Rhinolophus ferrumequinum: one gene and its partners. The protein of the gene in region 4 interacts with the protein of the main gene of each other region in a biochemical or structural test. Links are inferred from orthologs where the notes say so. Each region holds a gene or a part of one and is shown on either strand. Other genes may lie near its edges.

Region 1 (7,282 bases), on a different chromosome or scaffold from region 4:
GTAATCAGAAAACTAAAATAACAAGGTACCATTTCTAACCTATCAGATTGACTGAAAAAGTCTGATGCTCTCAAGTGTTAGCAAGCACTGTGGACTATTGGCAGATCTGTGAACTGGTAGACCACTTGGGAGAACGATCGATCATTATCTAGTAAAACTGAAACGATACAATCCCTTCCACCCTGCAATGCCATTACTGGGTATACACCCTAGAGCACATGTGCACAAGGAGACATGTACATGGACGGTCATTGCAGCACTCTTTGGAATAGAAAAAACTGGAAACAATGTAAGTGTCCAACAACAGGGAAATACAGAAAATGTGGTGTATACCCAGTGTACACAGACCTATGTATTAATACATATTGTTCCCATAAGGAACACGCTCTAGGAGCACCCTTTAGGACTGAACCAGCTCCACACACACACCAAGGAAAAATCCCCCAAGTAACATTAGTGCAAAAGGCCAGCTGCAGATGACACACAGAATATGATGCCACTTAAGCGATGCCTAGACCTTATGGTCTAAAAGTATAAAAAATGGTGCAGAGCACAAAGATCAATTCATAATTTTCATAGCGTTTGCCTGTGGAGAAAGAGGAAAAATGGGACTGGGGTTGGGGAATAAATGTTATTTATGGTTTAGTGTGTGTGTGTGTGTGTATTCTGAGGCAAACATGACAAAACATTAACAAATTTTCACTTCTGTATAATATGTACTGGGTATTTCCAATATTATTCTGTAAATGTTCCAATATCTTTTATATTTCTCAAAAGAAAAATGAAACAGCTATGGAATTAAAACATTTTATCATTAATTTTAAGAAAGATTAATAAAATGACCCAAATATAAATAAAATTGCTATATATAAAAACTTAAATGAAATTAGATCATTAGAATGAAAAGAAGAAATGTTAAAATTAACATCACAGACATGGAAAGGTTTAATTAAAAAAAAAAAATGTGGGCCAGCACGGTGGCTCAGGCGGTTGGAGCTCCGTGCTCCTAACTCTGAAGGCTGCCGGTTCGATTCCCACATAGGCCAGTGGGCTCTTAACCACAAGGTTGCCAGTTCAATTCCTCGAGTCCCGCAAGGAATGGTGGGCTGCGCCCACTGCAACTAGCAACGACAATTGGACATGGAGCTGAGCTGCGCCCTCCACAACTAAGACTGAAAGGACAACAACTTGACTTGGAAAAAAGTCCTGGAAGTACACACTGTTCCCCAATAAAGTCCTGTACCCCTTCCCCAATAAAAAAAATTAAAAATCTTAAAAAAAAAAAAAGTTACTTGAGTATTCCTTTAGTTTTTAATTTTACCTAATCAACAGTCCTTGAAATTTTACTGCTAACTTGAATGAAGTTCTACGTGTCCCAGGCAGAAAAGCAGCATGAATACATAAATCTTTTCTAAGGTGTTCGACCTGCCTTTAATGGATTATGCCTGGAACTTAATTGAACAACTAAGAAAATGTGCTTGCTTAAACAGCACAGGTACCAAAAACGGAACCCTAGATTCCTAGGAAATGCTTACAATGTGGTTGGTGGCCACGTTCATACACCCAACGAAAGTGCCATCACTGTGGATGATCTCAGCTCTGTAATGTTCATGTTCTCACCACCAGAACTGAACTTACCTGCAATTCACTTCCGGGGCAGTCATCTGATGTTGCCATAGTTCTCTTAGGATGTGCCGCATAGCTGCCACTGTTAATGTTTCATTTTCCTCTCCATTTCTGCTTTAAAAGAGAGAATGAGAAAATGCTTCATTACATTGCATAATAATTAAGCTTCTAAGGTCCGTGATAAAGGTCCTCTACCAAATAGAACTCAAATGTGTTATGTGTAATGAATGGAACAGAAATAAAATTTATAAACCCAATTCTTTACAAAAACAATGGAAAGCATTTAAAATTTATGAACTTCAAAGAAGTATGTGTTTTCTTCACTAGTCTGCAAGGTGTTACTCTTAATCACTGGCTGAAATCTGTTTTCTGTCAGATCACAGGGTTGATTTAAAACAAATCGATGTCAAATCTTTTCTTGGAACCTTATTAGCTTTAATTCCAATTAAACTTCCCTACCTGGAGCTTTAAAGTGTTTCCACTAACAGGAGCCAAGGTTTGCATCTTCCAGAGGCTTTTCCTTCTCATTCTCAATTCTTATTTTTCCAGTGACAGTGTAATCTGCAGTACGTTTTAAGATGTTTTCTCAATTACATAGCAAGTCTGCTTAAAATGAGTGCTTCTTTTGTAAATCAGGACCTAATACTTAATTTTGTGACATCCGTGGTTACAAATACTAATATACATACGTTGCATTTTCATTGTAAAACTGCACTGGAACCAGGATGGGACAGGGCCGGCCAAGGACTGGGAGGGCCGGGTTGATGGGGCGGGGCCAGAGCGGGGCGGGCCAGGTGAGCGGACCGCAAAGAGACGCAGACTCCGTGCACTGTGGGGGGGAGCGACCCCTGGATCACGAGGGGCAGGTGGCCAACGAGATTGGGGTGAAAGTGGAGAGCGTAAAGGGAGGGGCGGGGCGCTGACGCAGCACCGGGAGTAAGCGGGGAAGGGAGTGTGACATCGGCCTAGGGCGGGCGAGGGTTTGACACGCCTGACAAGAGGGCGCGCCGGGAGGTGGGCGTGCCTGGAGGCGTGGCTGCGGAAGGGCGTGGCTGCGGAAAGGGGCGGGGCGCCGAGCTCGCGGGGAAGACACGGGTGGTCTCGGAAGGGGGCGGAGGCCTCGGTCAGCCCGCTCACGCACACGTCGGGCGAGGCCCTCTCACCTGGCATGTCCTGCCTACGTGCGGTTCAGCCGCCCGAGCTGCCCACGGGAAACCTACCTCAGCCGCGTCTGTCCGCTGAGTTTTGCGCGATCCACACAGTCAGCGCGGAGGGGCGGACGGTGCCTACCACGAGCCGGAGCCACAGCCCTCGGCCCGCGCAGGCGCAGTGCGAGCAGGACGTCAGCGGAGGAGGCCCCACCCCGGGGCCGGGGCCCCGCGCATGCGCATGTTACACAAATTCTTCCAGAAAAGAGACGAGTGAATTACTTCCTAACCGGTTCTATGCAGCCAGCATAAACACTGCTATAAAATGTGAGCAAAAACAATCCAGTGATACATAAAGTGATTACGTATCATGACCAAATATGGTTTATATTACATATTATATATTTATATTTAATCAGTTAAATTTGTTATTTAAAAAAACCTCACAAAGAAAATTCCAGCCCTAAATGATTTCACTGGTGAATTCCATCAAATGTATAAGGAAGAAGTAACACCAACACTAAAATTTTAAGAAAATAGGGGCTGGACACATCCCAGTTTGTTTCATGCGCTCCGCTGTCCGGACAAGTGGAGCTACCGTCCTCCGCCCGCGCGGGCGCGAGGCGCTCAGCTCCTTCGCGAAGAGGCCCGGGCCTGGGGCGAGCGCGCCGCGCGGGCGCGTGTCACTTGTCGCGCCGGTGGCCGTTGCGCTAACCCGGGAGCTGAGCACCGGGAGCAGCGCCGGGCCTGGTGTGTGGGCGGGGCAAGGGGACCCGGCGCCGGGGCTGCTTCCCGACTCTGAGACGGGGAGCGAGGCCAGGGGACAGTTGTCGGAAACCCATTTATGGGCGACAGAAATGGCTGTTTTTGGATCAGGACCCCCTTTCTCGTGTTTTTCTTGTACTTCAGTTACCTCACTGCGCTGTGAGGTGTGAACCATTTGTCATTCTTTCCACTTGACAAACGGAAGCAGAGGGATTACGTTTTTATTTCCCCAAGAGGGCGTTGGGAAAGACGTCAGTGCGCGTTAGCGTGGGCTGGTCTCGGAGGGAGGCGGGCGTCAATATCACCGACGCGGCAGCTTGGTGGCGGCGGGGCTGGGGAGAGAGGAGATACTGGTAACTGGAAAGGGCTTGTTTCACAGGATGGAAACGGTTGGACCACAGGGCCAGTGTATTTACTGCACGGAACTCTGTCTACACTTACAAATGGTTAAGGTGGTAAATTTTAGCTTACGGGTCTTCTACCACAATTTTTTTTAAAAGAAGCAGAAGCACGAAGTACCAATATGAGGAATGAAAAAAGAATTCAGTATAGAGATTCCATAGGTTTTTAAAAGACAAACATTACGAAACTTGACAAGTTAGATAAGTTCCACAAATTCCTTGAAAAACACAAATTACCAAAAATGAACAAGAATATTTAGAAAATCTGCATACTATCTGCTAAAGGAATTGACTTCATAATTTAAAACCTTCTTACAAAGAATACTCCAGGCCCAGATGGTGTCACTAGTAAATGGTTCCAAACAAGGAGAAACTAATACCCATGTTACACAAATTCTTCCAGAAAACAGAGAAAAGTGACTTCCTAACCGGTTCTATGCAGCCAATATTAACACTGCTATAAAATGTTAGCAAAAACAATCCAGTGATACATAAAGTGATTACGTATCATGACCAAATATGGTTTATATTATATATTATATATTTATATTTAATCAATTAAATTTGTTATTAAAAAAACCTCACAAAGAAAATTCCAGCCCTAAATGATTTCAATGGTGAATTCCATCAAATGTATAAGGAAGAAGTAACACCAACATTAAAATTTTAAGAAAATAGGGGCTGGACACGTCCCAGTTTGTTAATAAGGCACACATAACTCTAATAAAAATACCTCACAAAAAATAAAGAATAATTAATATTCTTCATAAAAATTGATGCAAAAATCCTTTAGAAAACATTAGGAAATCAAACTTAACAATATATACTGAGGGTGATACATTATGGCCAAGTGGAGTTTATCCCAGTAATGCAAACTTGGACTAACACTTGAAAATTAATACAATTCACCATATTAATAGAATGGGGGAAAATATATAATCATTTCAATAAATTTTAAAAAGGATTTGACAAAATTCAATACCCAATCATTTTAAATCAACAAAAATAGAACATCATCTATCTATTAAAAGGAATCTATCAAAAACCCTAACGCTAAAACCATAATGATGTTATATTGAAACTTTTTATCAGAAACAAAGCAAATGCATCCACTTTCACTTTATTCAACATTTTATAGGCGTTTTGTTCATGGCAAAATTATGCTCAGACACTGACAGTGTCTTTGCCAATAATTTATTTAACATAGGTTCAGTGCAGGAATTACAACTTATAATAATATGTCACAAGCCAATAGCATACAGGATAATATCTCTTAATAAGCCAATAAAGAAATATACTCTAATGATAGATAAGTATATCATTGTTCCAAGCAAAGGGGAGATGAAAGAGATTAAGTCCAGATGTAGCTGAGGTGCACCTCTCTACGAGCTGCTGGTTCTCGGGAGAGCTGGCTCAGCCAATCAAGCGCTGACACCCAGCTGCCAGCGCAAATTGAAAGTCCCTGTTTTTGGAGTGCGATGCTGGTGGAACACAGGCGCCAGTGTTGGCGGGCAGGATGGTCTCCTCCACGGGCCACTGCAGTTTTCACCAGTGCTGGCAGAGAGTAGCCTGGCCATGGCAGGAGCTGGTGCCTCAGAGAGCTACTTAGATGAGCCAAGAGTAGCCTTGCCCAGACTGGACACTCTTGGTACCACAGTTTAAATGTTCATTACATCATAGTCACTCCTCCATGTGTTCATATTAATAAGCACAATAATGCTGATGACATCATCCCGACACAACCCCTCATATAAAGAAATTCACCCTTCGATCAAAATAACTTCACTTAAGGCATAACAAATCATAACAAACCAATACACAGCAACAGGAAATCCTAGCCAGCATACTAGGGCAAGTAGGCAATAAAAAAACCCAACTATCAGAAAGGAAAACATAAACTTATATACTGCTAGAAATTAGGCTTCCAGATTTATACCCCCTTAGCTTTCATTGTCTCTGGTTTGCTTGGTACATTCTTTATTTAAATCTCAGAATAATTAACTCATCCCCACCTCCAGGGTCAGTCTTATTAGAGATGGTTCAATCTCACAGAAGCATTTTTTAAGTCCAGGTGTATGAATCCTTATTAGTTACATAATTTTAAGAATTGATTAGGTTTTGTTGTTGTTCATTTGGTTTAATGTGGTTGAATACTGTGCTGTTCTGGGCCCATAATGGGAGGAAGTTATAAAAATGTGTGATTACAGAGTAAATAAAAAAAATTTGTTCCCATTGAGTAAACCACCAAAGAGGCTCATACAGTGATTTTTAAAACTTTAAACCTGATGTAATTTTATGGCAAATTTCCAAGAGTCCGTGAAAGTGAAAAGCGTTGGTCAGATAGTCTGCAGCAGTCCTACCACAGAGGAAGCCGCGGTTTCCCTTCGTTGGTTCAGTACTTCCTCTCACATTGCACGGAGAGGCAGTTCCCTGGGCAAAAGCCTCATGCATGAAGCCAGCAGGGAAAGGGTGCTCACTGTGCTCCCATGTCCAGCTCCTTCTCAAAACGGAAAAGAAGAAAAAGTGGAAAAACAGAAACAAAAGCCCTGCTGTTTTGAGCTGGGACCTAATACGGCCATGGGTCCAAAGCAAAGCCAGGCAGTTCTGCTCATGCTGGGCTGCCCTTTGGAAGGGAGCAGCGGTCCTGGGACGGCTGCTACAACCAAATGGATTCACAGAACCTGATGTGGCATAAACATAACAACACGCGATACTCCCGCAAAGTTTGCCAAGTTGTACATTAGCCAGTGAGTTCATTCTGTGCTCAGAAAGCGATCTGCCTGTTTTCTTTGTCCACCTTCTGCACCAGGAGTTTACCTGCCAGCTGCAGGTGTTTGGATACACAAGGATAGTCACTTTGATAATAATGACCATTGATCGAGAGCATCGGGCACTGCACACTATACGTACATGCGCACGCGTGCGTGTGTGCGTGCAAAATTTCATTTACTCCTCCAACAGTCCTCAGGGTTCCTCTTTTACAGAGGCTGAGAAAGGTGCAGTCATTTCCCAAGGGTCTCTGGGCAGAGGCAGACTTGAACCCAGCCCCAGGGCTCACCCACGGCCTCCTGCGGTCTGGCAACAGCCTTCTGTAGAACAGGAAAGGCGATTAATTCTCTTCGCCTGGACACTGGCATTTGCTACAACAGAAGCCTTTGTCCCTTCTCCCACGTCCCTTTAGAACACAGGCGTCTTTCTCTCCCTATGGACACGGGTCCCTGTAACCAACCTCGTGAGCAGCTTGGTGGCGGATGGCACTGTCCTTTGTGTGAGAACAACGTTGCTGCCCAAGGCCTTTGCTCCTGGAAACTCAAGCCAGAATGACTCTTCCTGGCCCTGAAC
Region 2 (7,235 bases), on a different chromosome or scaffold from region 4:
CCCAAACAGTGTTCCTTCCCTTGCCTTCTACCATATTCTCCATCCACAATAAACGGTACTAGCACAAAAAAGAGGTCTCTACTAAGGAGAATACCAGAATGAAGGGAGGAAGAACCTACACTTGCACAAACTCATTCATGGTTCTCTGGTTTGAATACTGAATTGTAAATCAAATACCTAATCTCTTCGCTATCAGCTCCTTAGCCAATGCATTACAAATCACACACGCAATTTAAAGCGCTCCTCAAAATTGATAGTATTCATAGACAAGAAAGATATGGCCTAAAACTTCATGGACCACCTACCCACCCACTCCTGTTTGTAGAATTAGTGAAAATTAATAGAATATGAAGAATTATCAGTTCATGCAGAAAAAGGCCATCATCACATTAGAACTATATTACGTCAGCATAACTCTTAGAGTATAATCTTACTCTTCTTTTGATCCAGCACCATGTTAAGACAGTGAAAATACAAAGGAACCAGGTCCCCTGCAAGACATTATAAAGAGCCATCAATAGTCTCTAAATTATACTCTAAATACAATTAAAATGATCAAGCATTGTTATTAATGCTGTGGATTAACATAAATGAAGCTTAGAGAGGAGTCAAATAATTATTTAAAAATCCTTTGTAGATATATGTAAAGATAGAACATGAACTGTAGGGAAACTTAACCACCAGCAAAAAAAAAAAAAAAAAAAGTAGAAAAACTCAAAGAAATAGGTATGATGTAACTAGTCCCTAACATGGCTCTAAGAAAAGAAAGTTTGACCAGACAACAAAGACTTCCAACCTGAAAACCATTTACTGTCTTTTCACTGAGCACAGTACATTTCCATCCTGTGTCCTCATTTCCCAAAATGCAGCAGGCTACTAAAAGTCCACAGTACATCTATGATCTTTCTTTTGATATAACAGAGTAAAAGGAGACTTGAAAAAAAATACATCTTCTAATTTAATTATAATGTGTGGAACATGGGATCAATAAGTGGAAGAATTTTTCACAAACAAAAAAGAAATCTACAAAGTGAAGAAGCAGGCTGCCAAAGGACAACAAACAAAATCCACTGTTTCATTAGCAAGGATTCTGCACAAATACTTGCTATTTTCTGCTTACAGATTAAAGCTGATATTGATCAGCTAATGAAAATGTGGTCAAGAGATTATCATTCTGGTTACTGTTGTTCAAAAAACAAAACAAAATAGATCAACCCCACCCACACTGCTGGAAAAAAGCTTCTGACATGAACTGAACTTGTTTAGCCAGGCCACCTCTTAATAAGAGAAATGCTCTGCAACTTGACTAGGGTTATATAAGTATTTTGCAACGTGTTACCAGTATAAAATCTTGTTTATTTACTCCCCAGTTAACAGATAGAGGTTATTTTCCTACAAGGCCATAATACCACGTTTCCCCAAAAATAAGACCTAGCCGGACCATCAGCTCTAATGTATCTTTTGGAGCAAAAATTAATATATGGTAATAGCATCTTTCCAATTTGATTCCATCACTCAGCACTTCCTGCACTGGAATTTCAGCCATTAATTTTATCTCCTTTTCCTCTAAAAAATTTTTTTAAAGATTTTAAAATATGATATTGACCTTCTTTAAATATCTCTGTTCCCAGATACATGGTGGGAAAAACTAAATTTCAGTGATTCAAGTGTAATAGCAAAATCTGGGTATTGCAAAATAATACTGACTTTCAGAGCCATGAAAGAAATCTAAATTTCAGCGTGGAAACAGCATTGAATCCCTTCCACTGCAGTATTTTCAACAAATTCACCTCTACTGCTTGCTCTTTTTTCTTTTTTTTTTTTTTAAGTCTATCAAAGATAGGAATTTCTAGGAAGGGATTTTATTTTGCAGGAGAATGGCCAAAGTCAGCAAGGCAAACTAAGACGCCTAAAATGAAATACTTCCTAGGGAAACATAACTACAATATAGTGGAAAGAGGACTAGGAATTTGAAGACCTATCTGTCTAAACCTGCTGCACTACTCCCCACTCCATCTCTTAGACTCGACTGGTTGTCTTTTTTTGTTGTTTTTTGTTTTTTAATGTCCAAGCTCCCTCTTGTGAAGAAATGACCATTGAGAAATGGCATGGAACTGAACTTGTCTCGATCCACACCTAACAGTATTTAAACTTGGGGTTCTGGATGCATGCTTGCTGTTGGCAAGATCTGCCCTGAACCTCAACCACTTCACAAACCTCTGCCTTCAGCAGCCAGACCCTAGAGGCACCTCTTCAAGCAGAAACGCAAGTTTCAAAGAACAGCCCGGGGGCTGGGGTGTAGGGGGACGTGGAGGTACAGCCTAGAAAAACTGGGAGAATATACCGGTATTGAAAGATTTTTTTTAACAGACATGAAAATCTAAACGTTTAAACATGTGGAAGTACCACCTTAACTAAACAGCAACGTGGTCCAGTGTTTATCAATCCAAACTACTTTTAAAGGAAACCAAGACCCTCTGCCCACAGTCACTGGGCATCACGCAGCTCCAGTGGGCAGAGGGTTGAAAGGGGACCACACGGCACACCAGGACGCGGCCGGAGGAGTGCAGGCCGGCCAGCCCCGTGCGGGCAGCAACTCCAGCAGAACTCGGGGAACCGAACCCTCAACTCCCACCACCGGCTCCCTCCCTCCACCTCGGGTCTCCCCAGGTCCCCAGGGCTGGGCCCCTCCCCCAGGTCACTCCCCTCCCCCACCGCCCCCTCGTCGCCCCCGCGCGTCCCAGCGCCCTCAGCCCCAACTTCGGCCCCTCAGCCCTGGGTCTCCTCAGCTGCCAACCCTTTCAGCCCCTCCTCCTTTAGAGGCGCCCCAGTCCTCCGTCTCCTCACCGGGGTTAGCAGTAGTTGCCGCCATGGCCGTAGGTGCCACCGCCGAGGCAGCCCTCCCCCGAGTGGGAGGAGCCGCCGTCACCGAACTGGTGGGGAGCAAGAGCGGAGAACCACTCCCCAGACGCGGCGCCCTACAGCCGCCACTGCTACCGCGGAATCCAAGATGGCGGCCGCGGCAACCCCCACCGTCCCCAGACCCTAAGGCGGAGAGACCCCGCCCACATAGGGGCGGAGTCAGCCCCAAGGCCGGCCTCCTTGGGGAAACCGACCAATGGAAACGCCAAATCGACCAGAGGCAGAGTTGGCTACTCAGGCAGCGGGTCCAGTGGAGGAGGGAGGGCGAGGAAGAAGTCAGCTGTCTCCCTAATCCCACCTCCTGTGCGTCAGAGGTCAGTGATGAGTGACGTCAGTGAAAAACTATTTTACTAAAAAGCTTCCTTTGGTGGTGGATTCGCCCGGTTGGCCACTCTCCAGACGATTGGTTTCGTAAACCCTCTTTAGGGTGCTCTAATGCTTAAACTTCACGTGGTGATTTGTAATCCTTTCTATAGTTTTCCCTCTTTTAACACCTTTGTCCCTGGTGAAAAAAGTTCAATAACTAATTTTTGAATGTCTGCTATAGAACTGGTAGTACAAGAGAATCTGGGCGCTTACGGTCTACAAAAGGAGACATCGACAGCCAAAACCAGGAGGCAATATATGAAGAAAGTGTTTTGATTGAGTGCAATAACTTCCTTTGGTCAAAAATAGAGATGTAGTAATGGAGTTTTAATAGGGAAGTGATAAGATGAGAACTGCACAAATTATTTTCTAATAATATAGGAATCATTGAGCACTTTGGGAGAGGCACTGTCTAAACTGCTTTATATGTTGTAATCCTCACAACATTGTGAGGTCAATACTATTACTGTATCATTTCCACATTGCAGATAAGGGAACAAAAGCAGAAGTTAAGCAGGGAACATCCAGCTAGTTAGTGGTGTGGAAGGCAAACCAAAGGCGTCTGATTCTGGGAACACATTACACCCATTCCCGTTTTAGCACTATAAGATATTACCTTCTCAGATGTCTTTCACAAACTGTTTAATATAAATTTAATTAGAATTTTAACAGAATTCCCATTATGCTGTTGTGCATCTTTGCATTTTATAGATTATATGTGTACTACAAAGATTACATTGATTCATTTCTCTGAGTTCACAGTATAGTTTAACCTCAGCAGAAGTAGTATAACATAATTTGTATATTATTGTTTACATTTGTTAGAATTAAAGTTTTATTTGTTACCATTTTGTTGTGTTGCATTTCCAATTCACCAACACTGAGAAAAATCATCCACTCAGAAGAAGTACATTGAAGCATAAGAAGTAGGGAAAAAAGTAACAAGTACTTCAGGTCAAAGTTAGGTGGTAAAGGTAGCTAGTTGTGCAGATATAGAATGTGAATTATTATGTACCTTTAAATGTGGTAAGTTCATCCAAGCAACAAAAAAATAAAAATATAAATAGGAAGTACAACTATGAATATCTGAAAATTGGATTTTATTGGGCCAGCAATCCATTTGTCCCTTGCCCACTACACCTTGACTGTTAGAAAATTTTGTCAGTTATTCAAAAAGCCATCCAAGCTTTCAAATCATTTTTGAACCAGATACAATAATAACCTTGCTGCCAAGTAAAATGTATTTTTCCAGAGTAAATGCAAAACAATGTTTTCCAGTATGAATAGGTGAATGTGTAGATAAAAAAGATCCAAGTTACACACTTCATTTAAAAAAAATGGTGAAAGTCATTTTGTTTCAGAGATGCTTGTATACCTAGCTACAAAGTTAATAAAGAATGTTTTGCTTGGAGAAAGCATAACAAGCTATTGGCCAAAAAAATCCCTAATTAAATATCACAAAGAAATAATCATGGTATACAATACGAAAAGACAATATCAGCCCTGTACTTACTAACAGATGATTACCTTCAAAGCAGACACCGTTGGTATCTACACTATGAATCATTGCACAGCATATACTCGTGTGCAGTACCTAAGGAAAAATGCCCAGAAACTTCCTATTTGGTTTATCATTTAAAATTCAAGTTACAGAAGAAGATATTTTTATTTAGAAAAAAACTGTCATTTAAAAAAGAATTATTTTGTGAGGTATGAGAAAGTCTGGAAAAGGTATCTTAGGATCAAAACTGATGGAGTTGTAGCTTTGGGTGTAGAAAGGATATTATTCCTACAAGAAATAAAAGGTCGGTCCACTTTCTGTTTTATTCAGAGGAGTATTTCTCCTGATTCTGATTCAGCATAGAACAAAATAGTATAAACTGTAAATATAGTAAAATAGCAGCCAGTAAGCATAATCTTTGAGAAGAAATAGGCAAATGATAGAAGACTACTTTTTCCACAATGAAGTATGGAGGCCAATAATGGGAAAGGTACTTTCACAAGGTTATTAAAACAGACTGGAGTAAAAATCCCTTCTTTACTATACATATAATACTAAAAACACATCTATTTTTTCCAGATAGTAAGTTTGCCCTAACGGTTTATCTGAACAATATTTTCATTATTTTTATTAACCTGAACTTACGACTTCTAGTTCTAAATGCCATGATTTTTAATCTTAAACAAAGTATCGGGATTTTGTAAGAAAACCAGACTGTTAGAGAAATGCCTTGACTGCCAAAAGCTTATTATTTCACAATACATGATAGTTTTCTTCATCAGAGAAAAAAAAAGTCAATGGCGCATTATTGAACATATTTTAAACCACATCCAAATGTTGCAACTGAATGGGGGAAAAACACTTTTCAGAGCCGGATACAACCCATGCAACTGAATACAGCTCCTATTCTCTCCCAAGTTGAAACATTGAACTTTTGAGGTTGCCTTATGCTCTTCTACTTAGGATCTCACAAATTACTGAAAACTGTCTTCAATTAGAAACTCTTCATGATACTAGATCCATGTTAAATCCAATTACAGTAGTCTCCCCTTATCCCCAGTTTTACTTTTCATGGTTTCAGCTACCTGCGGTCACCCGCAGTCCAAAAATACTAAAGGGAAAATTCCACCTCACTACATCTCATCACATAAGCATTCTCATCTCAGATCATCACCAAAAAAAGAAGGGTGAATGCAGTACAACAAAATATTTTGAGAGAGAGGGAGACCACATTCACAAAACTTTTACTGTAGTATGTTGTTATAATTGTTCTGTTTTACTGTTAGTTATTATTGTTAATCTCTTTATAAATTAAATTTTATCATGGGTATGTATATGAGGTATGAGCAAACAATATGGTGAATATTTAAATTTTAAAAATATACATTACAGTGAAAGACACATTGCCATTAATTCCCCTCAAAATACTCCCCCTCACTTCGAACACCCTTATCACATAGTTTCTGCCACTTTTTTTTTTTTAATTTATTGGGGTGACAATTGTTAGTAAAATTACGTAGATTTCAGGTGTACAATTCTGTATTACATCATCTATAAATCCCATTGTGTGTTCACCAGTTTCTGCCTCTTTCTGAAGCAGTTCTGGAAGTCCTCTTTCGTGAGTGTCTTTAGTTGCACTGTTGTGGCTGCCATGATGTCCTGAATCATTTTGACTTTGGGGAAGAGACAGAAGTCACAGCGTGTCAGATCCGGTGAATATGGTGAATGAAGACACACCATAATGTTTTTATTTGACAGAAATTGTCATACCAGAAGCGATGTATGACATGGAGCCTTTCCATTGTGATCACAAAATATGGTGAATGCTGCTGCCAAATGCCATCCAAATGGAAAGACAGGGCTCTTTAATATGGAAGCAGCACATTGAACCTTAGTAACAGTGTGTGACAAGTTTCAACTTGTTCGGTGCAGTCAGTCAGGTGTGAGCTACGGTTGAGAGAAGTTGTGTTGTAAAGTGTGTCGTAAATCATGAATTATGAACAATGCATTAACATGAAATGGGCAAACAGTTTCACCCTCCGTCACGACAACACTCGTGTCACACATCACTTCTGTTATACGGCAATTTCTGTCAAATAAAAACGTTACGGCGTGTCCTCATCCACCTTATTCACCAGACCTGGCACCATGAGATGCCTGGCTCTCCCCCAAAGTCAAAATGACCATGAAAGGTAAACATTTTGAATCGATTCAGGACATAGAGGTAGCCACAGACCGTGCAACTAAAGACGCTCACGAAAGAGGACTTCCAGAACTGCTTCAGAAAGTGGCAAGAACGATGGGATAAGTGTGTTCGAAGCAAGGGGGAGTAATTTGAGGGGGATTAATGGCAATATGTCTTTTACTGTAATAATTTTTTTTTAAATTTAAACATCCACCATATTTTTTACTCACACCTCATGGTTAGGAAAAAACATGGTATATG
Region 3 (7,447 bases), on a different chromosome or scaffold from region 4:
CAAGCTTAAATAGGTTGTATCCATTTCCAAGGACATAAAAGAATGGTGTAAAGTACACACTGTACTTTGAATGCCAAAAAAAAAAAAAAAAGGATTTTTTTTTAAATGGCAAGTGCTTTATCATAGCTCAAGTAGGATCCATAAATGAGCAAGTCACTCAAATACTTAAATTCAAATGTTAAGTAAAATTGGATTTGGCAGGGAATCCCCACTTTGTGACTTAAAAGAATATATATTGAGATTGCAGTGAGGCTCTTTACCTTTTTTAAAAACACTTGGTAAAATAGCATGTATGCCTAGTAATGAGGTGCTAAGTGCTAACTTTACTCTAAAACACACTTTGGAAAAAATAAAATCCTGGCTCCTCCAAGAAACTTAAATACGATGTGAATTACTTAAACTTTTTGACACAATAACCACAAGTATGGCAGTGTATGTAAAACAACCTTGGTGTAACAACTGCGCCAAGATTATGCTGTACATAAAGATTATGATTAATTTTACTATGCTGTACAGTCAGCATGAGAGGTGACGAAGGAGTCTGGCTCAACCAGAGAATCTTAGCATCAATACCTCCACCTGTGCCTGAGAAACTGTCAGCTTTAGGAGGCCTGAAGGCAAATGGACCCTGGGTAACCGTCCCGAGAGCCCGTCCTCTAGAGGGGCCGCAGACCTTCACCTGGAGGTAGGAATGTGACTGCCCCCACCGTCTCTCCGGGTCTCTCTGAATGGCAGAAAAGGCCAGAAGCGCCTCATCTGCAGTCCTGCCGTGAAGGCAGGAGAAGGTCCCTGCCGGGTCCCCAGATGCGCACATCCATTCCAACGCCTCCAAAACACTTATCTCAAAGCCCCCGGCCTTGGCCCTCGGATCTCTACATCTCCGTTTTCGGTAACACTGAGGGGGCAAAGCGAGAGGGTACACACGTACCCAGCCCTGGTCACCCAGAGGAGCCTCGCCGTGCCTAATTAAAGGCCTCGGACCAAGGGCGAGACCAACTTTGGGGGCACTTCCTTGCGTAGAGAAGTGCCCGCCGCAACGCCCGGCAACCGGGCCTTAAGCTGCTCACCGCCAGGACGCGCTGGCCCTTTAAAGGCGCTCGCTTCCTGCACCCTCGGCCCCTCCCTCGCCACCGCCAGCTCCCGCCTCCGCCCCCGCCGAGGGTCACACTTGAACTTTAACTCGCCCGGCACGGCCGGACGCCGCAGCTCTGCTGGCGGTGACCATCCCTTTGCACGTGTTGGATGAGATACCTCGGGCTTGGAGCGCCGGGTCCCCTGAACTCAAGGCCACCACGGATAAAATCAATACAAAGCAAAATGCACACCGGCCTCCAAAAACTGCACGGCCAGCCCCCACGGGCCGGCCCGCGCCCTGCTTCTGCCCTCCACCTGCAGCCCCATCCCCCGCTGTGGGGGTGGGGGGCTCAGATGCCCCTCGCCGTGCCCACCAGGGCCAAGCACAACGGAAACGGCTCCCCGGCTCGGCCCAAGGGGGCGGAAAGGAGCCGGCCTCACCCGCGAGGTCCTGGAGGAAAAGGAGCTGCGGCAGGAGTCCACACCGGCCGTGGGGGAGCACCTCCCAGTGAATCACCTTCTTTTACCGGCGAAATTTTCTGCCCGCTGATGTCACTTCTTGTACTTTTTTCACTCCCTCAGTTTCCAAACGAGCCCGTGCCCCGTCCCACTCCAACTCGCATTTGAGCGCGCGCACACTTATTCCAGTCCCCCAACCCGTCCCAAGCAAGCCCACAACCTATATCTGCCACTTCTCGCCTGCTCCCTGCACGCGCTGCTCGTGTGCCCTGCACTTTCAGGACAAGGAAACTTGCACAGCCACCCCCTCATCTGCCCTACTCCGACCTCAAGTGCCGGCAGAGAAGTCCCTGCGCCCCCTCCTCCATCCGACCATGTGCCCCAAGACCACTCACCTTCCAGCCGGCCGAGCTGTTACTGTCTCCCTTATCCTTGAAGTAGGGCACACTCTTGACCATCCATTCGTAAATCTGCGACAGTGTGAGCCGCTTCTCCGCGGAGCTCTCGATGGCCTTGGTGATGAGGTCTGCGTAGGATAGGTTGCCCCACGCGTTGCGGCGGGACGAACTACTCTTGCGCGGCTGCCCCGCGAGAGGCCCCGCGGCGGCCGGGGGAACAGGCGGGTGCTGCGACAGCGGCCCGGGAGGCGGGGGCTGCGGCGGCGCTGGGTGCAGGCAGCCCGCCTCCGGGCCCTGGAAGTCCCCGCACAGCCCCCCGGTGGCGGCAGCTGCGGCGGCCGCCGCCGCCGCCACCGCGGCCGCCGCCGCGGCCGCCGCCACGGAGCCGGGCGCCTGCTGGAAGTCCCCGCTCTCTTCCAGCAGGCTCAGGTTGCTCATGAAGTCAGCGTTGACAGCAGCCGCCGAGGCCGAGGGCAGGCCTGCCGCGGCGTCGGGGTTGGCGGCCGCGCCGCCCGACGGCGCCGGGCTGGAGGTGGCCGAGTTGGACTGGCTAAACTCCGGCCTGGGCAGCGGCCAGGTGCACGAGCGCGGCCGCGGAAGCGGCTCGAAGTCCGGGTCGATCTCCACCACCTGGGGCGCTTCGGCCATGGTGACCCCCGCCCCTCCCCCAGCCGCGGTAGAGCCCAGGGGTAAAGCGAGGCACTGGGGGCCAAGGAGAAGAGGGCGCGAAGAGCCCGTCCGAGATTGGTGGGGGGTGGGGGCGAAGTCTGTGCCGCCGGCGGATGGAAACCGGGAGGAAGGCGCGGTGTAGTGGCAGCGCGAGCCCAGAACTTAACTTCGCGAGTCCATCAACATCTAGGCTCCTCCGAGTCCGCTGCACCGACGGGACGGCTGACCAGTGTCGCCGGGCCCGGACAGCGCCGGCGCCGCGCTCCTGCTGACAGGGCCCGCGGACCGGAGGACGGACCGACGCCGCGAGCCGCTCGCTCTCCCGGGCGGCGCGACTGCGGTGCTGCTGCCTGTTGAATGTGGCGGCGGCGGCGAAGGCTGCAGCTACTACGCGGCCTCCCGACTTACGGGATCTGCCGCCACCCCCCGCCCGCAGCGGCGCGCACGCCGGCCCGCCCCTGACTAACAGCCCGGGCGGCCAATGAGCGCGCGGCACCGCCGCCCAGGCAGCCAGTGGACGAGGTCCTGGGCGGGGGCCGATTTTCCACCGGGAGGTGGCAGTGAGTTGGTGGGGGGTAGTGGGGTGTTTTTCTCTTTCACACACTCTCTCTTTTTATTTTTATTTTGGATGTCTTATTTTCTGGTAATTCTCAAATGTTTCTGTGAGTCTCTCGCCCGTCTCAGTATTTGATTGCTAGGAGGCAAAAGAGCGTGGAGGCGGCGGCGACACTTTGTTTACTATTGAGGAGCAAAGCCGAGTACTCTGGAAGCACCCGTGGAAGAAGTCGCTCACTTTGTCTCGACCTCCGCTCCGAGCCCAAAGTGGAGTGAAGCTCCACTTTGGGGATGTGGGACACGCAGAGCTCTGGGGGCGCTGGGTGGGTGGGCGGAGACGACCTCGCGGAATTCTACTCAATAAATAGCCCAGCTCTGGGCTCCACCCACGGTTTCTTTGCAAAGAAACGTGGGGCAGTCGGTGGGTTTTGTTTTGGTGTTTTCTTTCTCCGTGATCTTTCAAGTCGTCCTGCCCCGGCCACGGTCGCACAGAGGGCCCCGGGCGCCGGGACCCTGGCGGTCAAATCCGCGCGACGAGCACCCTCCCACCGCCTCCGCGCCCGGAACCCACCTGTCCGCACCCCTTAACTGAGCCTCTGCAGTTCGCTCTAGCCCGGGGCCAGTCGCCCAGCCCGGCAGCCACTATCCGGATTCACTCACTCCATTCTTGACCTAAAAGGCTAGAAATGAGGGGAAAGGGCGCGGCGCAGCGAAATGGTCCTTTTTCACACGCACACGCAGTCCCAAAGGCATCCTAGACCTCGTGCCGTCCGTGGGAACCTCTTCTGGGCAGGAATCGCAAACTATCCACCGAGTCAGTCCAGGGATGGCGGGGAAGGAGTAAGAGGACAGCATTTACACGTAAACTTGTCACTTTAATTCTGACTCTTAAGTTTAACTGTTTGATTTTAATTTCTTTGCTATTTAGAATTAAAACGATGAGTTGTTGAGAAGTAAAAACTCAAGAGTCTTGGGGCACAGTCCTTCCCCACCCCCAGGTTCCTTTAGGCTGCTTGCCTCGTGCGTCAATCAACCCACCCACCCCATCTTTCTCCATCTGGGCTCCAGGTCCAGGACGTCCTGTAGAGATCAGTGAGGCCAAAGGTGGGAAGACAATGGTCCTTGTGTCTCAGGGAGCAGAAGAAACAGTTTTCAAGTTTTGTTTTGCTTTGCATTTTTAGGAGGAATATGGAAGGCATTTCCTTTCAGAGGGATGGGATCACTTAGGATGGAAGATTGACAGGGTTTAAAATATCTTGTCCAAAATGACAGCTCCCAATTCTTTAAAAAAAAAAAAAAACTCATTTTTTTCCAGGTAATTCAATTGAAAAAAAAAAATGACATCTTAAGAAAAGTAGGCCTCTTGTTCGAAAGTTTGAAGACTTAAGAAATTTATTTCTTACTTTACATTTTCACTATTATCTCCCTAGTCCACTTACTCATATTTCTTCATAATCCACTTATCACGACAGTTTCCGAGTGATACTGGGCGTGGGCGTTTGGTGAGCCTGGTGAATTGAGGATAGGGTTGGTTCCCATCCTCTTCTTCTTATGCTCTTTTTTGCGTTTACTGTAAAATTTGGACAATTCGGGCCTTCTCTGCTAGCCGCTAGGGGACCTCAGTAACCCAGATGGTGAGCTCAAAGGAAGGCCCTAATGTCCAACTGTTACTACCCCTCAACCTTTCCAATTACATTATGCAGAGGCAGCCCCCAATCCAGACGGCCGCACCCTACAAATAGGCGGTGCCCTAGTGGATCATTCTTGGCAAAGGAAGCCAGCTGCAAATTTGGCTTTGACTTCAATTCCGGTTTTTCAGGCCCTCAATGGGGGGAGAGTATTTGATTGACTTTTGTTACATACTTTGCCCAAATCCTTGGAATCTTCTGGGCTAGTCTGCCTGATTGTTTCTTTGAATGTCATAGTTTGCTTCATTTTGGTCTTTTATAAAATTTGACTTGAAGCAGGCTCAGAGTCCTACAGCGCCAATGTCCCTGACACATACTCGTAGGTCAAAAAAATTAAAAATATATGTTAAAAGGTGTTTATAGCTTCCTACCATACCTTTGTAGGTATCAATTTACTGAACTGTAGAATACTGGGGAATATTTGTCTTATTTCCAATCTTCAATTATCACAAGCTATTCTGTAATGAATAACCTTATGTAACTCAGTTTGCATCTGTCCAAGTATATCTATAGAAGGAATTTCTGGAAAACAGATCACTGGGTCAGCAGTTAAATGCATTTATAATTTTGAGACACACTGCCAAAATTGCCCTCCATGAGTACTATATCAAGCTACTTGGTGGCCCCCTTTAATTTATAGATAAGGAAATTGAGGCACAGACTACCCAATTGATTTGCCCAAGGCCCTATGGCCCAAGACCAGGGCTAGAGCTTCAATTTCTTGCTCTCCTATCAATAATCTTCTCAATACACAGATGGAAAACTATAAATATTCTGTAATCCCAGTATAGAGATAACCACTATAAAACTGTGATGTGTTCCCAGTCAATCCTACAGATTTAGTCATTTTAGTTAGATGAACTCTACTGAACTGAAGTTTTGATTTAAAAGATTTAAAAAGCAGACACAAAAAGGTTATGGTGATAGTAAGATAATGGAAAAAAAAAGATTACAAAAGAAGTGGGGTTTTTTTAAGTCAAAAATGTAAATAAACATTTTGTCTCTCTTTGAAGGATGCCAAAGTATTTAGGTTGGCACTACCATAGTTCTGCTTTAAAGAAAAAGTTTCATTTCTTTTCTCCTTCAGTATTTTTTGTGATGGCTGTTTGCTTTGAAAACTTTTTCTAATGATTATCAATTATTAGTTGGTGCATGTGTCCAGATTGAGAAGAAAAATTTTTCGTGTCAGGTTATGACAATTAGAATGAAAAAGGAAATTTATTCTCACAGAGCCCATCTCACCAATATGATGTTCTTTTCTCTGCCTGGTTTTCAGAGTAATTATTGCATCATCCTTGACAGGAAGACTGAGAGATGGTTACCTTTGATCAATTCCCAGGCAGAAACTTCTACATTTACCCCTCACCATCAACACACAGATTTCTGGTTTAAATTCTTACTCATAAAAATAGGTAATTTAAGTCCAGTTTAATGAGTAAGTGAAAAGCCTGGATGCTTTTTTTTCCGGTCATGACACCGAGCATCATACTTCACATTCCCTTTCCCCAACAACTGTCCATTTCAATATTGTGTCTGAATTATTTAGAGGTACTACTATCAACCTAAAACAGCCTTTCTTCACTTTGCACATAGAAAATAATAATCTGAAAAAATACAGCTTTGGGTTCTTAAACCAATGTCCTGAAAGCTGGCAGGTAAAGTAGTACCATAGTTAATATCTAATATCAGAAGTAGGCATTCATTTTTCTTGAGAGATAATATCCTTTGGATTTTGTTGTTCATTCAACAAATATTTATAAAGTGCCTACTATGTACATGCCAGATGCTGAACATCTTAGAATACATTGCTTTCATAGCAAACTCCTTGAGGTTATAAATGGTTGATTTTGTTTTCCTTTATATGATATTTGATGTCAAAGTGAAAACTATGTTGTTCTTAAATAATTGGCAATGAACACTGACAATATTTTTTTGGAGGAATTACACACAAAGTATTTCATGGATACAAGGACTGCTAAAGCAGGAAAAAAATTGAAATATTATTATCAGCAGCGTTTGGAAGAAAAATAATAAGATGAGGTAGAGAAACTAAATAATGCACCATCCACAGGGAGTATGAACTCTGGCTACCAAACCTTGGAGTTGGGATAATCTTGCCTGAAATGGATAAAAGACCCAGGCTACGTCAGATTATTTGTCCATCACATATAAAAATGGTGCTTCCTAATCTGTAACGAAGGAGAAGGATTGGGCAAGTCATGAACCAGATATCCCATATTTTCAACTCTGTTATGAATAGCCAATGTTTCTCAGCTTCTATAACCTCCGTTCCTTCACTTGAAGTGTTAGTGAAAGACTACTTGTGGGTTTCTACAGGAATTCTTAAATATATTTGTAGATAATCTAAATAACCAACAATAGAGAATGGCTAAATAAATAATGGCATATCTGTAAGGTAGAATCTTATGTAGTCATTTAAAATAAAGTGGACAAAACATTTGTACATTACAACAATGCTGGTGATACAGTATTTAAAAAGTTGTAAGGTATTACTGTCAGCTCAAAGCGTTTGCTGTGGTTTTATCTGGGGAAAGAATTTATAGGTGATCGTTATTGGTCTAACACAAACTTTCATTTTACAGG
Region 4 (7,997 bases):
TATTTGGGGGGCAGAGTCTGAAGTTCCTCTAATCCCTAGTTCCCTAGAATATACCAGCCCAGGAAAAACAATAGGATAAAAATAGCAATAACAAGGGAGGGGGGTGGTAGATGAGGGTAAAAGGGAACAAATATATGGTGATGGAAGGAGACCTGACTCTGGGTGGTGAACACACAATGTGACATGTAGATGTCGTATTACAGAATTGTACACCTGAAATCTGTAACTTTGCTAACAATGATCACCCCAATAAACTTTAGTTAAAAAAAAAAGCAATAACAAAATAATATTTTTCTCACCCTGCTCTCCGTCAACTGTTTTACAACCTGCAGTCCTTTCAAATTTTTCCTTCCGGTGGTGCCAGGTGAATAAGCAAACGCCGCAGAAATTGTCACAGGTGCTGAGCCTCACTGCAGGGCCTGCTGAAGCCACCAATGTCATCCAAGGCTGTTGCTACTGGTGTCAATCAGAGGCGCCAACACGGGCAGGCGAAGGTGGCCATATCATCAAGTGGGGAGTACGCTTCACTCCTACTTATTATCTGGTTTAGGAGTCAAAGCTTCCCTTTGTTTTCAGTGTCTTACAGAGATTTTTGTTTTCCTCTGCCTTTTATAGCAACTTCTCCTTTCATTATGATTCCAGTGTTTGTGCAAGGTGGGCAGTTGAAGGACTCAGGATAAATTCCGTGGTGTATTTAAAATCATTTTTCTCTGGCACTGGCTCCTTGGCCTTGGATGAGATTTGTAAAGTTTTCCCCTTAGAAGTACACCTTAGTCATCCATGAAAATAGACTACTGGAAGGGCCACCCCTCTTTGAATTCTAGTTGAGACCCTGCTTCCCACCGAGAAGTATGTGCATTTGGGTATCTGCAGAGCAAGACTGATGGGGTAGGAGTGGTGGTGAGCGACAGGGGTTTGGGGGGGACAGAGGGGCAGGGTCTCAGGGGAGTAGAAAGGGTCAGAGAGCTCTGTTCTTTGCTCAGCAGGGTAAATAGCTTTTTCATTTTAGATCATTGTATTCTTCACATGTTATTTCCTTTGTCACCTCTATAAATATGAAAGCCCATTTATTTTCCTAACAATTTTTTCAATAACTGTATCCTCGCATGGATGTTCATGACTTGATAGACATCTTTTTCTATACACAGAAAAGGCATGCAATTTATGAAGGCAGATTTTAAAGGCCTTTCTGTAAATGAAGTGTAAGGTTTAACTGAATTTATTCTTTTTGCAAAAGAATTTTCTGCCTGACCTTGTTATATCAAAGGAGATAGACCTTTTTCTTTGTCTTTCTTTCTTTCTTTCTTTCTTTCTTTCTTTCTTTCTTTCTTTCTTTCTTTCTTTCTTTCTTTCTTTCTTTCTTTCTTTCTTTCTTTCTTTCTTTCTTTCTTTCTTTCTTTCTTTCTTTCTTCCTTCCTTCCTTCCTTCCTTCCTTCCTTCCTTCCTTCCTTCCTTCCTTCCTTCCTTCCTTCCTTCCTTCCTTTTTTCTTCCTTCCTCCCTTCCTCCCTTTCTCTCTTTCTCTCTCTCTCTCTCTCTCTCTCTCTCTCTCTCTCTCTCTCTCTCTCTCTCTCTCTCTCTCAGAAAGACTACTTTTATCCCTATAAGCTTCAACCAGATAGCTTCAACATTAAGTAAATGACAGTCCAGTCATCAGGTATTGGTCATATTAAGGCTATTTTCAAATACCTTGGTCTTGTACACTTAAAACAGAACTGCTGGATTTTGTGCTTTTTGCTACAAAAACTAACACCTGTGATCTGGGATGAGTATTTTAGTTATACTCTTTTGATGGCAAGGGCCAGAGACTCCCTTAAATACCTAGTAATAAAGGTTCTGGAAGAATCTGTGTGACGTCCACAACCCTGCCAGTGACCAGGGCAGCTGTATCCAGACCATGCCACGTGCTCATGGACCCAGGGCCCCATATTTGTTCGTCTTGGCTCGTTGGGTTTCTCTGTCCCTGCGTAACTTCAGTTTCTAAGGGCATTTGCTTACTATGACCTGCACTCTACCCCAAGACTTCCTTCCTCCCTGTGTGTTTCACTAGCTCAGTCTAGGTTTCCAAAATTCATACTCCTGTGAATCTGAATGTGATTGGTCAAATTCATCTTTTCCCATTAGGTTATGTCCTTGGTCACTGGCCTATCTTGGTCAGATGTTTGTCTCTGGCCCAATTAGCTGTGATCTGAGGGGGGCTGATGTGACTTGGTTGTCTAGGCAACAGGAGCCTAGGGCAGGGCAATTTCTCTTAGAAAGATGAGTGAGTGGGTGCTCAGGTACTGACTGATACCTCAAGGCAAGCAGAGTTTCAATTTTGATTGCTCATCATGAGAAAAACTAGAAGTCAGAGCTGCTTCTATAATGTGATGGAATCTGGATAGTGTTTAGCGCAGTTCTCAATTTCCATTTCCAATTTTCCACATCTCTGCTAATAAGGACAAATGAAGAATTTGTGCCATTAACTATGTAATCGAGTCCCAAACTCTTCTATCATCTGGGTGTCCGACAAAAACACACACTCCAAATCAAAAACCTGAGTTTTATTTTAACCCGAATCACCCAGATCACAGCAAGATTTTGCCTGAGTGACACAGAGAGATTGCACCAATTTTCTGCTTTACTTTGTTTGTGGAGACCAGGCTTTTAATGGTTACTTCTGGAATGAGAGGACGTATTAAAAAAGGTTGGAACCTGGAAATATTTCTAGCATTGTATTGCATTGCTTTACTTAAATTGGTCTTTTCTTATTTGTTTTCCATTATTCAGTTTATTTATAATGGTGAATGCAATTTAATTAGAAACTTTACCTCAGAGGAGATTTTGTTTTCTATAAGAATGCACAGAATATTTTAAAACAATGTTAGCCCAAGGAGACACTTTAATTTTTAATGATTTCATTAGAATAAGATGATTAATAAACACTTTTTGGTATCAATCTGTAGAAACGGTTATTACCCATTCACTGATAACCTTTCCACTTTTTCTTCCCATGAAGACATGTAAAACACGTGTGTCCTCATAGTACGTTCTCATTTAGTGGTTCTGATTCTGCAGTGCAGTGTTAAAATCTTGAGTGCTCGAGTCCAGTTCACTCCAGCTGTGAAATGTAGGTATAAGTACTTAATCTTGGTATCCCATGGTTTCCTCATTTGTAAAATGAGTACTTTACAATAGTACTTCATCGGGTTAGAATAATATCTGACTTCTAGTGTGTGCCCAGAAGACATTTGCTATTATTTTTTTCTCTCTCCCACTTCAGAAAGCACATATTGGAATGCAAATGAATGTCACTAATAGTCTTTTAAGGATAATTAATTCAATTTATATTTTATATAACTTTTATATTATTCAGTTATATTTTCTAGTGAAAAAAAAAATCTATAACCTTCAGTCCAGAATCTACCGGATGTCCTATTTTGAGAACTGTTGCTCTAAGTAATTTTCTCCTCTGTATTGATGTGTGCAACTGATTTTAACAGGTAGCTAAGTGCTGTTTGAAAAGTGCAGTTCATCCATTCTGGCAAAAAAAAAAAAAATTGAAGGATTTAATTAATTTAGAAAAAAATATTTTGCTTTCAAAATATTTAAACTGTTCAAAACATTTTATTGAAGAATTTACCTTGTCAGAAATCATAATAAAAATAATAATGTAGTAAAACTACCATAATACATTACGTGATTGTTTTTTTTTTTTAATTAAAGTTTATTGGGGTGACAATTGTTAGTAAAGTGACATAGATTTCAGGTGTATAATTCTGTATTACACCATCTATAAATCCCATTGTGTGTTCACCACCCAGAGCATGATTGTTCTTTTAGTAAGTGAATCTTGTTGAAATTTCATGTTTCTTAATTTAAAATTAAATCCTTTATCTATTAGCTAAAACGTGTCCTGCTCTACATATCCTGTGCAAATTAATCTCAGACAAATTCATATATTCAAATTATTTTATGGGTAAACTTACTAATACAGAGAAGACTGAAGACAGTTAAGATATTTTTATTTCAAACTGTTTCAAAAGCGTTGATTCTGAGATTTTTGATTTTTTTTTTTTCTAAGCCGATTTTGAGATTCACCTCTTGCCCTACAGATGTAAACCTGAACTTGGAGATTCTAGGACCCAGCAGCCAGAGAAACATCCCCCTTTACCTTCTCTTCAACCATTCTCACCTCCAGAAAACTAGCCTTTCCTATGCTTTGTAGAGTAGAAAAAAATCTAATATATTAAAAAAAAAAAAATCCTTTACAACACATACTACATAAACCACTGCAGACTTTATCAGGTATTAACATTTCAATATTATTTTAAGAAATTTCAATTTTATTTTTTAGCCCATTTTCTACTTCTGAATGTTTATCTCAGGGTAAACAAAACAAAACACCCACAAACTCTTAAATGGCTGCAGGAAATGCCAGACAGTTTATGGAAATATCGTCTGATAGAAGGAATGGCTTCAGCGTCAGGGAGAAGCTAAGCCTCTGCAGGTTAAAAGTCAAGAACCTAATTAATCAGTGACGAGAAATACAGGTTGTTGAGTCAATGGCTGAACGAGAATGTTACGAAAATGCTCACAGAAGACACGTCCTCCCTCCTGCTCTTAGCTGTGACTAATTTTGGATTAACAAAATTTATGTGCTGAGTGAAGGCTTTATTTATTTTTTCCTACTGGACATGCCCGTCTAGACTTCAAGCTTTATTAGTAGCAAAGAGAAAATCAGCTGGATTACGGAAAAATAGTTCAGGCAGATTAAACAGACTCCTTACCCCTTGTTAAACATCTGCCTTGATCGAAGTGCTCAGAAAGTTAGAATCGGGCCTGGTGTGGAGAAAGGAAGGCCACCCCCTCCTCTACTTTGTACAGGAGATTTTCCACTCCTAGTCAAATGGTGGTGCTAGTTCTTTAGTTTTGAGTTACTGCATTTCCTAATTTCATGGTCATAGCCTCCTGCCTCCTGCCTCAGAGCCGATTGCACCAAAACTGAAAATGCAGGCTCCATGCTCAGAAGCTTCTTAATGGGCTCGAAAGGTTACTGTCCTTTCTCTTGCTCATTCTATAGCATAAGAAGACAGTCTTTGAGTGACATTCTTCTCTTCAAGTAGGTACTCCTGTTTCTTCTCTTTCAATTTATTTATTTTTCCTTTTGGCTATCTGTGCTACTATTTACAAGCATGAGGTAACTTTAGAGTTTCCCTCTCATGTGAAAGGATGTTCCTTTTTCGCTTAACGCTCCAGGGATATTTTGCAAAGTTGCTGACAAGTATGGCTACGACATTAAAATGTTAAGTCTAAGCTTGGTACAGTGGAAATTCACTTTTGGAGTAATAGTCAGCTGATTCAGAGGGCAACATGACTATCCTTAGCACAGCACTGACAGGCTGCCTGCCCGCCCCAGATAATGTGTATTTATTGGATCCAGCTCTAGCTGTGAGAAACTGCATTGTTGAAATGTGTCGGAATTTGAAAGTTATTAATTGGACTGATGGCGGGCTAGCCTGAACACACTACCTGTTTTCTTAAACTTTGGTGCCATAATTTATGTGAGTTGGAACTAAGCCATATGAATAAGCTCTTATTTGTTTCCTGAAAGCAGTCAAGTTTTCTGAAAAGCTACGCAATCTAGCAATACAAAAGTGAGACACCCTGTTTTTCAATTGCCCTGTGATTTTAGGCAAGTTCTTTTCAGTCCTGCTGCCTTCGTTTGCCTCTCTGTGAAAAAACGATTGGTCACTTTTTGCAGCAGGAGGGTGTGTATGTGAACGCCTTCCCCCTATAGAGCGGTGTGATCCTTGAGAAATGATGTGGCAGTCACAAAAGGCAGGGCAGGATACTTTCATTTTGGTTAGAGGGATGCCACACGCTTCAGGAAATGTGCGCTAAGTTGTTAAGTTTCATGCTTTGTCAAGAGGGTAACCATTTTTTGTTCTCTTAGACATGCCCATAAAGCCAACGAGTTGGGCTTTATCAAGACTTGGGGTCATGGCGCTGATTCCCGTCTAAAGGTGCCAGGTTTCTATTGGATTTATAGGCCAGATCTAATAAGCTTGCAGAGCAACTCCAAGCAGAAGGTTGCTGGGAAAATCATCGCGTTTTGAATGTGTGTATATCTATATCCATATAGATATCCATATACATATATGTGTATATCTATATTATATTAGCATATAATATATGTTAATGTTGAGAGTGAACTTATGAATATGAAGTAGAAATATTTGAATTTTATCTTAAAACCCAGAGAGCCGAAAAAAAAAGAAAGAAAAGAAATTGGATGGGAACTTCTGAGACCTAGGGTTCAGAGCCAATTTCTACTCTATAAAATTCTTTCCTATTTCTTAAATGCAAATGTTTGTTGCGATTTTGTTAATATCCTCTGAAGACTGCCCACCAGGCCTTGGCGTGCGTGGGAATAATATTCCAGAGGTTAGACAAAATACTATAGTGGTTGTTAGATTGTCGAAGAAATTATGAACAAAAGCAATGTAAATATCAGAGATGTGATATGTAGAAAAGAAAAGCAAAATGTTGAATATGAATGTAAAGCTTGTATTTACTAGCAGGATATTTTTCTAGCCCCTTAGAGATATTTGTTTTGTTTTATTGCTTGTGACAGTCAAGGAAAGGGATAAACTCATATGTCTTAAACTTGCAGCAAGAACAAAGCTAAACAGTTAATTGAAACAGTCTTTCAATTAACTCTGTGTCTTTCATTCAGTTTGGGATTTAGAGCTAGGAACCCTCTACCTTCCTCCTAATACTCACTCTAAATAGAAATGTTCACACTGGGTGCCTGCTGAACACGTTTATATTATTATCTGTGGATTCTCTGAGTATTTGTCCGTATTCATTTAGCCCCATTGGTCAAAGCAACTTCTGGGTCTCAGGGCCCAGGGGTTGGGCTTCAGTTTGCTTTGAACAGAGAACAGTTCTGCTGCACGGTTACAGACTGGTTACAAAGAAAACTGAGAAGAATGACAGTGACCCAGCTTTGCGTACAATATTCATGGCACAAATTTCATCGATGTTGGTTGAGGCGTGGTCCTGCTCATTCACCTTTATCAGGGCTTGCACTATCTACTCCTACACATATTTTGCTAGAAAGCTCACACTTCTGTTCCACTCTTCCATAGCAGTCATTCTTTGGTGAGGACCCAGACATTAAGTAGCTTAATTCAAATCCACAGAAGACGGCGAGGTAAAAGCTCCCACCACCTTCTAACTGTGCAGTTTCAACTCTGGCTTCAAATGCTTCATCTGCAAAGCAGGCAATTATGAATAGCTGCCGGTTATAATTGTGTGGAATAAATAAGATTAAACCATTCATTAAACTACTTGCAGTCTTCAAGTGTTAGGAACTCAATATGACAAAGTCATTTTTCTTCCAATTATAGCACCGTGCCTGGTAATAGGTGCTGGCTGAATAAATGACCAGAACTACGGCCAGCACCGTAGCTGCTAGGAGTTTATGTCCATCTGACCATAACTGGGAACTTGACCTGAATTAGAAAAGGCAATAAATCCATCCAGCTGAGCATGCTGACACATTGCTGCTTTTGTAAATGAGCATAAAGTGTTGGAAGAGAAAGTGCCGAAATCTCCAACGTCCTTCCCTCCATTATTCATCTCCTCTGTGACTATAAGGGTAATGATATTCCTTTGTGATGAGAACAGTAGCAAAGAAAATGGCAGATTCTTGCTGTGACCAGTATGTAAAAAACTTATTACAAATGCTTCATGTTTGTTTGTTTGTTTGTTTTACATCAAAAAAAGCATTTTGTTTGGTTGTTGTGCAAGGTATGAATTTATGCACATACAAGTATAGGATTGTATGCTAACTTTTAATTCAACATGAAGCTAGAGACCTCTCTCCCTCACCCACTCTGTAATGAATATTTAGTGCTCCTGAGGTGGTAGTAATAAAATTGTATTAGCACCTAACATTTAGGGAGCTCTGACTTAGTGCAATAGCCATTTTTTATAGACATTATCACATTAA

The links.
Region 1: the proteins of ESR1 (region 4) and PRMT2 form a complex in vitro, tested with the Homo sapiens proteins (2 studies listed by BioGRID and IntAct). The link is inferred for Rhinolophus ferrumequinum from reciprocal best matches to the Homo sapiens genes ESR1 and PRMT2.
Region 2: the proteins of ESR1 (region 4) and ARNT form a complex in vitro, tested with the Homo sapiens proteins (2 studies listed by BioGRID). The link is inferred for Rhinolophus ferrumequinum from reciprocal best matches to the Homo sapiens genes ESR1 and ARNT.
Region 3: the proteins of ESR1 (region 4) and FOXO1 form a complex in vitro, tested with the Homo sapiens proteins (2 studies listed by BioGRID). The link is inferred for Rhinolophus ferrumequinum from reciprocal best matches to the Homo sapiens genes ESR1 and FOXO1.

What each region holds. Positions count from the first base shown.
Region 1 is NC_046285.1:109,210,810-109,218,091, reverse strand, and holds the start of PRMT2 (protein arginine N-methyltransferase 2), read right to left. Parts: upstream 3,004-7,282; 5' UTR 2,847-3,003; intron 1,741-2,846; exon of another isoform or gene 1,738-1,740; 5' UTR 1,678-1,737; coding exon 1,639-1,677; intron 1-1,638. UniProt on the Homo sapiens protein: Arginine methyltransferase that methylates the guanidino nitrogens of arginyl residues in proteins such as STAT3, FBL, histone H4. Acts as a coactivator (with NCOA2) of the androgen receptor (AR)-mediated transactivation.
Region 2 is NC_046305.1:51,032,462-51,039,696, forward strand, and holds the start of ARNT (aryl hydrocarbon receptor nuclear translocator), read right to left. Parts: upstream 3,020-7,235; 5' UTR 2,873-3,019; coding exon 2,848-2,872; intron 1-2,847. UniProt on the Homo sapiens protein: Required for activity of the AHR. Upon ligand binding, AHR translocates into the nucleus, where it heterodimerizes with ARNT and induces transcription by binding to xenobiotic response elements (XRE).
Region 3 is NC_046287.1:85,279,225-85,286,671, forward strand, and holds the start of FOXO1 (forkhead box protein O1), read right to left. Parts: upstream 3,015-7,447; 5' UTR 2,580-3,014; coding exon 1,929-2,579; intron 1-1,928. UniProt on the Homo sapiens protein: Transcription factor that is the main target of insulin signaling and regulates metabolic homeostasis in response to oxidative stress.
Region 4 is NC_046286.1:94,554,693-94,562,689, forward strand, and holds the start of ESR1 (estrogen receptor), read left to right. Parts: upstream 1-4,982; 5' UTR 4,983-5,099; intron 5,100-7,997.